Nothobranchius furzeri: one gene and its partners. The protein of the gene in region 1 interacts with the protein of each later gene in a pairwise test. Links are inferred from orthologs where the notes say so. Each region holds a gene or a part of one and is shown in the gene's direction. Other genes may lie near its edges. The genes, in order: siah1, inha and upp2.

Evidence for each region.
Region 2: the proteins of siah1 (region 1) and inha interact in binary tests that used the Homo sapiens proteins (3 or more experiments, as listed by UniProt). The two-hybrid records come from large-scale screens. The link is inferred for Nothobranchius furzeri from reciprocal best matches to the Homo sapiens genes SIAH1 and INHA.
Region 3: the proteins of siah1 (region 1) and upp2 interact in binary tests that used the Homo sapiens proteins (3 or more experiments, as listed by UniProt). The two-hybrid records come from large-scale screens. The link is inferred for Nothobranchius furzeri from reciprocal best matches to the Homo sapiens genes SIAH1 and UPP2.

The regions. Positions count from the first base shown.
Region 1 is NC_091744.1:81,654,376-81,658,129, forward strand, and holds the start of siah1 (E3 ubiquitin-protein ligase Siah1), read left to right. Parts: upstream 1-1,001; 5' UTR 1,002-1,231; coding exon 1,232-1,349; intron 1,350-3,530; coding exon 3,531-3,587; intron 3,588-3,754. UniProt on the Homo sapiens protein: E3 ubiquitin-protein ligase that mediates ubiquitination and subsequent proteasomal degradation of target proteins.
Region 2 is NC_091742.1:62,956,633-62,959,555, reverse strand, and holds inha (inhibin alpha chain), read left to right. Parts: upstream 1-914; 5' UTR 915-1,018; coding exon 1,019-1,316; intron 1,317-1,412; coding exon 1,413-2,146; 3' UTR 2,147-2,414; downstream 2,415-2,923. UniProt on the Homo sapiens protein: Inhibins and activins inhibit and activate, respectively, the secretion of follitropin by the pituitary gland.
Region 3 is NC_091754.1:18,953,232-18,956,985, forward strand, and holds the start of upp2 (uridine phosphorylase 2), read left to right. Parts: upstream 1-1,509; 5' UTR 1,510-1,628; coding exon 1,629-1,684; intron 1,685-1,755; coding exon 1,756-1,870; intron 1,871-1,955; coding exon 1,956-2,114; intron 2,115-2,198; coding exon 2,199-2,313; intron 2,314-2,410; coding exon 2,411-2,620; intron 2,621-3,754. Other genes in the region: uncharacterized protein C7orf57 homolog, read left to right, coding at 524-608. UniProt on the Homo sapiens protein: Catalyzes the reversible phosphorylytic cleavage of uridine to uracil and ribose-1-phosphate which can then be utilized as carbon and energy sources or in the rescue of pyrimidine bases for nucleotide synthesis.

The DNA.
Region 1 (3,754 bases):
GACCCAGCAGGGTACAGTGGAGGATAGTCTTTAGTGTTTGTTTTCGGCTGAGCTGATGGTGACATCATGGTGTCCTGCTGTAGCTTCAGCGCTGCTGCTGGGACATATCGGTTAGTTTAGTTTGGGGATTTTACACAACATTTAAAGTTCAATCTTAAGGTGGAGACTGGGGCACACTCCCGGAGGTTTGACTAACATTTGGAATGGGAATGATTTAACCTGCGGAGCAGGAACGCTGAGGGAGAAGAAGAGTGAAACTAGGAAAGGAAAAGCAGTGAGAAAGTGAGGTTTGGTGTCAGTGAGGGCAGCTGGTGGTGCAGCCTGCAGCGAGACGGGCTGAAATCTGAGCCGTGCACAACCACAGCACTGCACGGGGTGGGGGTGAAATATGCAGGCTTTATGCTGACATAACCATGTGAGAGGCACAGAGAGGGAAGGGAAAATCAGGCCCGTTAAATCACAGGTCTGATGGGAAAATAGGGAAGAGTGTGTTTGGACTGACATCTGATGGCTGCTGGGCTCTTTTACACAAACACGCGACACCTACGTCACTACAGGAGACGACACCCCATGAACACCGGTGGAGGGAGGGAGGGAGATTTCGGACTTTCCCTTCTTTTCCTCTTCAGACTCTGGAAACACTGGGCTCTGATTATTCCTGTCGTAACGCCGTGAAGGAATTGTTTTTTGCTGCTGGAACCATGTCTTGCTCTCATTTTGGTTGCAAACCAGCGTTTTGGAAAAGCGCTTTGTAGGAGAGTTTTTTTTTACACACTTCTGCAGTTTGGTGCCAAATAGTTCCTGAAAACCTGGCCCAAGGAGCCACGGAGGTGGAACGCACACATGGATTATTGTCCAGTGTTGGAGGAAGCGTGGTGGGATGAAGCTTTTTACTGAAACGGAAAACGACGCTGTGTCGGCGGTTCCACGTCCTTTTGTGTAATCGTCCTAGTCTTTGTTTTTTCGTTTGGCTCGTACCCGACAGACAGACTGCTGCAGTTCCCACCTAATAAAGGAATTATTCATGCTCGTAGCTTATTTTCCTCCCCATCCTGTTATTTTTAGTGGGTTTGGAGGACTTGTTTCCTGTTGCGTGGACCCAGCCTTCGTCTCTTTACTACAACATATCCGAGGGGCAGGAGGAAGAAACATGATCCGATGTTTGGGGCAGCAGCAGTGTGTGGTTTCTGTGGAAAAGGTCTGGGGAATGTGGCGGGGGGGCGCTGCATAAATGTCTTTGGTCCAAGTGAAATCAAAGCCAGCGAGCGTAGCTCTACCGTCTCCACCCTGGAACTCCCTGCTCCGACTCTTCTCGTGTGTCGCCACGAGGGATGTCCACACGCCTAAAGGTGAAGGAGCCCAACCCCCGAAGTGCTTCCGTTATCTGGAACTACGCGGTTCCTTTTCCCACTCATGGATCTAATGTGGTGTTGCAGCTGTGGTCAGAGGTGGGGGAGGGAGGAGCTCACCTTCTGCTCAGCTGTTCCGCTTTAAGACAGCTTTGTGTGTGTGTGTGTGTGTGTGTGTGTGTGTGTGTGTCAGTCAGTCATGATTATGTTGAAGCTCCGCTTGTTTTCATCTCTGCTCTAAATGATGATTTTATTCTGTAATAGAACATCCGGTTTTGTTATCAGGGCTTCAAACTATATGATTATTAATCTAGAATATAATCTACAGAACCATAGACGATCCTGCAGAACCGTCCTCCCCAGCAGTGACTCTCAGTAATCCTGGCCTATTTGATCCGGTTCTCATGCGGTTCTGGAAGAGTTCTGATCCAGTTTGCACAGATGCATTTTGGCACAGCTTCTCTGACTGGACCGCTGCAGCACCTTGGTTCTGTTGTAGGTCTGCTGTGTTTGGGGTCGTTGTCCAGTTTTATGAGCCGGTTAGGTCCAAACTTCAGATGAGGTTCTGGTGGACCACAGAACTGGCCCAAACCACCAGCCGTCCTCCACCAGCTGACATCAGCTGTTAGATTTTCTCTAGACGTGCTGCTGTGCATTATGGGTAAACGTCCTCCCTTCAGTCTCCTCAGTCTGAAGGACTTGATGCCCAACGTCTCTGCAGTCTTGATTCTCGTGTGGATTAAACTGAAGTAGCAAAGTTAATTTCCTGTTATTTATGAAGAATTGGTGCGACTTTAGGTGTGATTGGAATCAGACCTGATGGTGTAACAATGATGCAACAATCCCCCCCCCCCCCCATCACATGTTGGTGTAGAAAATGGGGAAAGTTCCAGTGTGAACACACCTTTACCTGTCTGTGTTTTTGGGTCAGGTTTGTTGTTGAATCCTGACATGACATGATCATAAAATCCCGGAGACAATCGCTGAGTTAAGAAAGCAAAAGGATGGACAGACGAGTAGACGTCAAACTCAGTGGTTATTCTTTTGTCCTTTTTAAGAGGATGAACTGTTCGGAACTGAACTCAAAGGAGAATCAGAATGAAAAAATCTGATTCCAATTTTAATTGTCCCACAGAAATTTTTTGTGCCATTGACTCCCATTCAAACATAAAAAAAAGCTAAATATCACCATACATTTTTTAAAATTTCACTCCAACTGTGTTCCTGCAGCCACCAGGGACTGAAGTTATTTTTACTTTTTTCCTCTAAATGGCATGGCACTGATTTATAACACACTCTAGTAATGTATGTTTTGGAGATTGTGTGGCCAAAAATATTTTTATGCTCATTTGTGACTAGAGCCCTCACAATTCACCCCCAAAAAGTCCTCTGGACATGACACACAAATGATTTAGCATTTTATATTTTTATAATGGTTTTTTTTTTTTTTTTTGACAAAACATGGCACTAAAGGGGTTAAATCTCAAAAACACCCCCCCCCCCCACCCATTTTCTGAACCTGCTTTGTCCACGCAGGGGGGTGGGGGTGTTGGTGCCTATCTCCAGCGGTCAACGGGCACAGGGTACACCCTGGACAGAGAGCCAGTCCATCGCAGATCTCAAAAACACTCAGATATTTTACTTTGTTTGGTGAGGACTGAAGCTAAGGAAAGAATCTGTGTTAAAGATTTTTGACTTTTGAAATGTTATATAATTTTTTATTAAACATTTTGCCAAAATGCATTTTTTTTTGTGCGAGGGTACCAAGTGTAGCTTTTTTTTAAAAGGAAACTCCAAAGGTTAAAAATTAAAGAGATAAATGAAGCGTTGGGTTTGTTAAATATGAATGAAATGTGCTGGCGTCACCAGACAGCCCATTATGGACGTGTCCCTGTAATGGACGCTCCATTAGCAGCAGGTGAGTGGCTGAGAGGTTCTGAGTCTTCTGCTGTCCTCCAGCTGCTGAGCTGATTCCACACACGGGCCTTAAAGTGTCCTTGTCCAAACACTGACTTTAGTTTTAACCACATTCTTTATTTCTACATTTTATTGTCCGATTAAAAGCAGCTCCTCTTGTTTTTGCTGCAAGGATGAAACCTGAATCTGGACTCGATCAGCGCTTGAACTGAAGGGAGCAGATAGTTGAGTTTGTTTTACATTTGTGTGTTTTTGTCTTTTCAGAGGTCCCTTCATTTCAAGATCAGACGAAAGCCTTATTTGGAAATCTTATGGACGAAGGTGAGTAGCAGAGCCTCCGGGAGGTGACCCCCTCTTCTCATAACTAGTTATTGTGAATTTATCTGAGCTGCAGGTTCTCGTGCTTATAACTGATGGCTGCTGATTCATGTGAGGGAAGCTAGATTTTCTGTTTTTAAAACCCAAAATAGTTCTGATCATCAGTAAGT
Region 2 (2,923 bases), on another chromosome or scaffold:
CCCTCCTTTTCAAACTAAGTTGAAGTCAAATTAAAAGATTACAAATGTTAGCCATGGCTCATTTTTGCTCCCAATAATTGAAGAAATTTTTTATGTTGAATTGTTATGGAAAGCCATGGAAAAATGATTCAAAGTCATATAAGTGTTTTTTATGTGTCAGTCTATATTAATGTCGATGGTCAGTCTTTCTTTTTCATACTTTGCATTAAAAACAGACAAGACACAAACTGCAGATACAAAACATGGACACAGGGGTCGCTGTTCTGCAACATTTTCACATTTTATACTTAATGGGATTTTTAGCCAATACATTTCGTTTTTTTCCTTTAAAAATACTCATTTCTTTACTCATTTTTCTAACCAAATAAATGATCAATTTAACTTTTTTTATACTATTCTCACCATGCTTGTAAAAAGTTTGTATTTTTACAGTAAAATCTAAGAAATCTGGCTTTAACGAAAACGTCTAACAAGAACTTTCAGTTTTCTTACTCAATATTTTGTTTCTAAACAAAATTTTTGATACTGGAGTCATGGAAAACATTAATGAAATTCTCAAAATACATGTTTAAATTTCTTCTTCAATCAAAAATGAGTTCTCAAAAGCACCTCAACTAGAAAGGAGCACTTTTAGTAGAGAACACAAATGTTTTAAATGAAGTTTGTAAAAGTTCCTTTTAACTAAATGTTTCTGAGAGACAATAGTTTTCTAGGAGGGATTTAACTTGGTGAGATAAGGAGGCAGACAGGAGGCCTTTTAAGCCCGCAGAAGATACATTCATCATCATTTAGAAGAAATAAAAGCAACATGCATGAATTATTTGTGTATTTAATGACAAAAATATATTCTACTGGGTGGACATTTTTTATTTAAATCATGCAGAGAGCTTCTGACTGTGAAAAACCTGCAAATCAGAAGTTCCAAGGTCATCCTTTATCATCATTTGTGAGACAGTAACAAAACGCTGCAGCTTGCAGACTTTTCTCAGACCCAGAGAGCAACAACATCAGTGCAGTCATGGTGTCCTGTGGTATGCCTCTCCTGGTTCTGCTCTGGATCCAGAGTTTGGTCCAAGCCTACAAGCCAGAGGAGCTGCCCAGGGGAGTCATCTTGTCCTGGTTTAAAGAGCGGGTTCTGGAGAACTTGGGTCTGGAGAAGCCACCTCTTACCAAGGTACGGGGTCCTGGAGAGGACACAACACCACCAAACGTGGAGCAGAGACACAGGAGGGTCCTCCGGACCACCAGAGCAGTGAGGGAGAACCATGAACCCAGCAGGGACCGGGACACGTCTCAGGTGATTCTGTTCCCATCTGGTGAGAAGCTTTTTTTTTTCATTTGAGTAAAATAAAGTTTTGTAATTTACCTTCAACTTTTCTTTAGGAACCTTCTCTTTACTTACGTTCCTGCAGACTCATCTTTTGCCCTTGTTGACTCAGCCATGAATAAAAGCACCAGAAGCTACTTCACCTTCTACTTCCAGCCCTCTAAAAACCTTCAGGCCGCTGTGGTCACATCTGCTCACTTCTGCTTCTTTGAGGGAGGAGCTGGTTCGTCTGCCTCACTCTTCATCTTCTCAGCACAGCAGCTCTACCAGGCAGCACAAACTCCAACACTGAGGAGCTCTGATGGATGGAGCACCTTCAGTCTGGATGGGCCGTTGATGAACTCCATTGCTGAGGGTCCATTTCTGCTTCAGGTCCGGTGTCTGGCCTGTCAGTGGAATCGTGACCCAGAGCAGATGGCCTTTCTTCATCTCCACGTCAAGCCCAGGGGTCGTACCCGTTCTCCCCGTGATGCAGCAGTAACCATCCCCTGGTCTCCTACAGCCCTACACCTCCTCCAGAGGCCCTCACAGGAGGAACCTCAGCACGACGACTGCCGCAGAGAAGAAATCGAGATCAGCTTTGAGGAGCTGGGCTGGGACAGCTGGATCGTCCAACCGAAGGTGCTTACCTTTTACTATTGTCATGGGAACTGCTCGGCTTGGGATCGGGCCGCCGCTAGATTAGGGATGACTCAGTGCTGCGCGCCGGTTCCAGGGTCCATGAAGTCCCTGAAGATCACGACAACATCTGATGGTGGGTATTCCTTCAAGTATGAGACCCTGCCCAACATCATGCCTAAGGAGTGCACCTGTGTCTGAACCCCAAAGGTTCCCCGAAATCCCTCCCACTGAGAGACTTCCCGTGGTGACCTGCAGATGTGATGGATTTTTCTTCAGCAGAAAATGGGGAAATTCACTCGTTTAATATTTTAGGAGTTTAGCGTTCGTATTAAATCGTCTCAGATGAGAGTTGTGGAACTGTTCATTTTCTTTTACCTAACCCAAACCAAAAGATGTGATTGAAATTTCTTTGTACATGTCGAGTTAAAAATGTCTTTGGATTCTGGAATAAAATAAACTGGTCAGACTTCGTGATTTTAAAAACAAATTTTTTTCCCCAAAAAATATTCAAAGCTGCAAAAGCTAATCTGCAAACAAGCTAGCACCATTCTTTTTTTTCATGCCTCTTGACCACAAATCCGCCTTTTCCTGAGTCCTCCACTCTTTTCCTGCTTTTAGCAGCAGAACACCACTGGTGTGAGAGGTTCTCCGCTCAGTGATAAAGGAGAAACAGCCAGCTGCTACCACTTCAACTTTAGGAGAAACTATCGGAGTCCGAAAAAGAAAAACACCATTTGAATTCACGAACAGTTTAACCCTCTGGAGGCAGGCGTTGCAGATTAGCAATGCTAAAACCTACCTACCTGGTTACGCAACATACATATTTCATGAGCATTGTTTAACTCAGAAGTACCCCTGAAGGGCTTGAATGTTCGTCCTTTTATCAAAACTTATTGAGCCTGAGATGGTTAAGATATTTGGACCTAAAAAACACCATGTAGTGTTTAGCGCCATCTGGTTTCCTCTGCCAATGTG
Region 3 (3,754 bases), on another chromosome or scaffold:
TGGGCATCTGGTCAGGATGCCTCCTGGACGCCTCCCCGGGGAGGTGTTTCGGGCATGTCCTGCCGGCAGGAGGCCCCCGGGTCGACCCAGGACACGTTGGAGAGGTTACATCTCCAATCTGGTCCGGGAACGCCTTGGGGTCCTGCCGGAGGAGCTGGTGGACAAGGCCGGGGAGAGGACGGCCTGGAGCTCCCTAGTTGGGATGCTGCCCCCGCGACCCGGACCCGGATAAGCGGAGGAAGACGAGACGAGACGAGACGATGAAATGCTTTAGCTTGCTTTCCAGACTTAGTCATGTGTACTTTGAGAGAATACTTTTGTAATAAGTAGCCAGAGTTTGTCCAGGGATACAAAGTTGGGTCAGTCAACAATAAATCACGTTAAATGTTTAAACTGCATCATCTGCAGTCCCTCTGGCTACCCTAACAGACACTGAGATGATTGAAAACATTATAACATGTTGCTAATTTGATCATTTCATGAAAAAAGTGTTCAAATCTAATAAATTCTCTGCTTTTTTCAGAGTTTTTGACAAGAAACCAGCACCGGTGGACATGTCCAAGCTGCTCCGCTTCGGTTATGCAGAAGAAAACAAACCAGTACAGTGAGGTGTCAAGTAAGCAGCACAACAACCGACTTAGTCTTGTTTATCATCGTAAAAACACTTTATAATGCAGTCAGAATGCATTTGTAACACAATAAAAGCAAATGAAGGATTTTATGAGATGGTTTTATGAATAGCCCTTCTGAAAATACAGAGACACAAATAATAAAGTGGATTAAACCTTTAAGGGCTGAACCATTAGGATTTTATGAAGTATCCTGACAGTATTATGTAGTAATATTAGTGAATGATTAGTTATTTTTCATGCCAACAGGCTGGAGGACTGCCAGAGGCGCTTCTAAAGCTAGAAGAGTAGACGCCATCTTTTCTTCTTACAATCTGTGTCACGCTGAGCCACAACAAGCATTTAAATTGGTTTTCAAATGTTGAATTAAAAAAATTAGTTTTTTATTTATTTTTCTTGTTATTGGAACCTGATTATATACATCTCTTAAGTTTTGTGCTGTTTCTGTTAAAAAATATTTGACACGTGATTAAAATAAAGTTGAAAATATTCAAAATTTCTCTTTTTTTTTCATTTAAAATCTCATCTTAATCTTGACTTTTAGCTAGGTAGCCCTATTAGTCAGCTTGGTAACTCTGTGCATCTGTTTTGATATGTCAAGTTGTTTCATGTCAGGGTCAAAGGTTATCTCCGTGTTCTCTGAAATTATGTCACAGCATGTCAGGAGTTCGCTGGGATCAGATGGGCTGTCGTTAAAACGCTGCACTCTGAATCATCCCGCTGTTTTTATGTTCTCCTCGGTGCCGTCAGTGGGGAATTATTTTTTTTTTTTTTTTGCACGTTACTCGTGTTTTGTTTTATAAGCGAGTTTATGTTTGACTAGTGGGTGCTTTTACCAGAACAGCGATTGCCGCTACTCCTCTTTATAGAGCCAATCAGTGACGAGGTCAGAGGGGACCACTATATCAGCTGTGCAGCTGAAAGTCACTCCTGTTAGAAAGAAAGCTTTGCAACAAGTTCTTGAACGATCTTCAGCAACCTTTGAAGAAAACCGAAGTCATGGCCCCGATTCTGATTCTGAGCTGCATGGGGCACGATCACAACGAATACATCAAGTGAGTATATCCAGCGTTTTACTATGGTTTTACTTCTGATCGTGGAATAATACAAAAGAAAATACTTCTAGACAACAAGTCCAAGTGAAGAATCCCTATTTGGACACTATGGAGGAGGACATCTTGTACCACTTCAACTTGAGCACAAAGACTCACAACCTTCCAGAGATGTTTGGAGACACAAAGGTTTGTGAAAAGCGGGATTTAAGAACAAAATCAGAGCTAGTTTGATTACACAGATGTCACCTGCTCTGTTTTGTATCTTTCACAGTTTGTTTGTGTTGGAGGAAGCGGAAACCGAATGAAGTCTTTCGCCCAGTTCATGCACAAGGAGCTAAACTTGCCTGGAAACCCAGAGGACATCAGGGATATCTGTGAGGGAACTGATCGCTACTGCATGTACAAAGTGGGACCAGTACTCTCTATAAGTGTAAGCACTTAAAACATTATAATACACACATTTATTATGAATCAGCAGATTCCAGGATTAATTTCCATTTATTGTTTGTGACAGCACGGCATGGGAGTCCCCTCCATCTCCATCATGCTGCATGAGCTCATCAAATTGCTGCATCACGCTCAGTGTCATGATGTGGTTCTGTTTCGCCTGGGAACCTCTGGCGGTGTTGGTAAATTAGTGTTTTTATATTCAAAACTGACAGAAAGCTTCACTCGTGTTGTGATCAATGGGTGGTAAATATGAAATGTCCCTGGTGTTGCCTCCAGGTCTGGCTCCGGGGACAGTAGTGATCACTGATAAGGCAGTGGACTACTCCTTCCGCCCCCAGTTTGAACAAGTTGTTCTGGGTAAAGTCATTACCAGGAGCACGGAGCTGGATGAGGGCGTGGTCAGCGAGCTCCTGCAGTGCTCCCACGAGCTTCAAAACCTGCCAACTGTCATTGGAAACACCATGTGTACCCACGATTTCTATGAAGGTGCCAAACTCATAATAATCCACATTTTATTTTGAAAGAAACGTCTTAATTGAAGGAAAATGGATGCTGTAATCACAGTTTGCTATGAAAAACCCCAAAATGTTAATTCACTATGAGAAAAAATATCAAAGGAAATGATAAAATGTTGAAACAATTTAATTTCACTGCAGAACAGTTATGCCATATTATCTCTCTGCCTGGTAAGGTTATAGCAGACAGGTGGCCAATTCTGACAGAAAACAAACAGCACCAGCCATAACACTCCCCCCCCCCCCCCTTAAGAATAAAGTTATTAACTTTAACACAAATCCCCCACCCTAAATCACAAAACAGCCCCAAAATCAATACTATATGATTAACTGCAGGCCAATGGCATAGGTGCAAAGCAGGAGCTGGGAGGCGACAATCAACTCTGGATTCGATGTAGACAATACAGGTTCCAGAAGTCTCACATCCTTTACACAAACAAATCCACTGCTCACCCAAAGTTCAGTCTCATCACAACGATGATATCCAACAGCGACAGTGATCTTCACCAATGCTCCAGTCTTCCAGACAGGCTGCTCACAGTCACAGATGCAACCAGTCTAGGTGTCAAAGAGACAGTTCACAGTGAGGAAGAGTTTTTCAAAAGCTCTGACCTCTTCCTTTTTAGCGTGGCTAAGCCAGTATCCACCGCAGATGTAGCCACACCAGCAGGGATGACAGGAGGCGGGGCTACCAAGGGTGACACATCTAGGCTTCCAGATCCACAGCACCGTGAGAGCGACGCTCGGTCTTCTCCCCCTACAGAAAATTCGGTCCATTTGAGCCATCTTCAAATCCAGAGATGATGTGTCACCTCCCACATTCCACACCCACAACACACACCAATGAGCGCATGGGATGGAGCGTCTGAACTTTTCTGAAAAAAAAAAATCAATAAAATAAGAAAAACTCCAAAAATATCAAACACCCAGAGGAAGAGCACATGTCCAGGAAGAATTAGGGATCAAAAGAAATCCCGGACGGGCCCCTATTTGTTACGATCCAAGCTGTCTAGAGGGCCTGGGGTAACAGGGAGGACACAAGTTTGGGTGTTTAAAAGTTAACTTAAACAAATTTATTCACACCAAGGAAAATTACTAAACACAA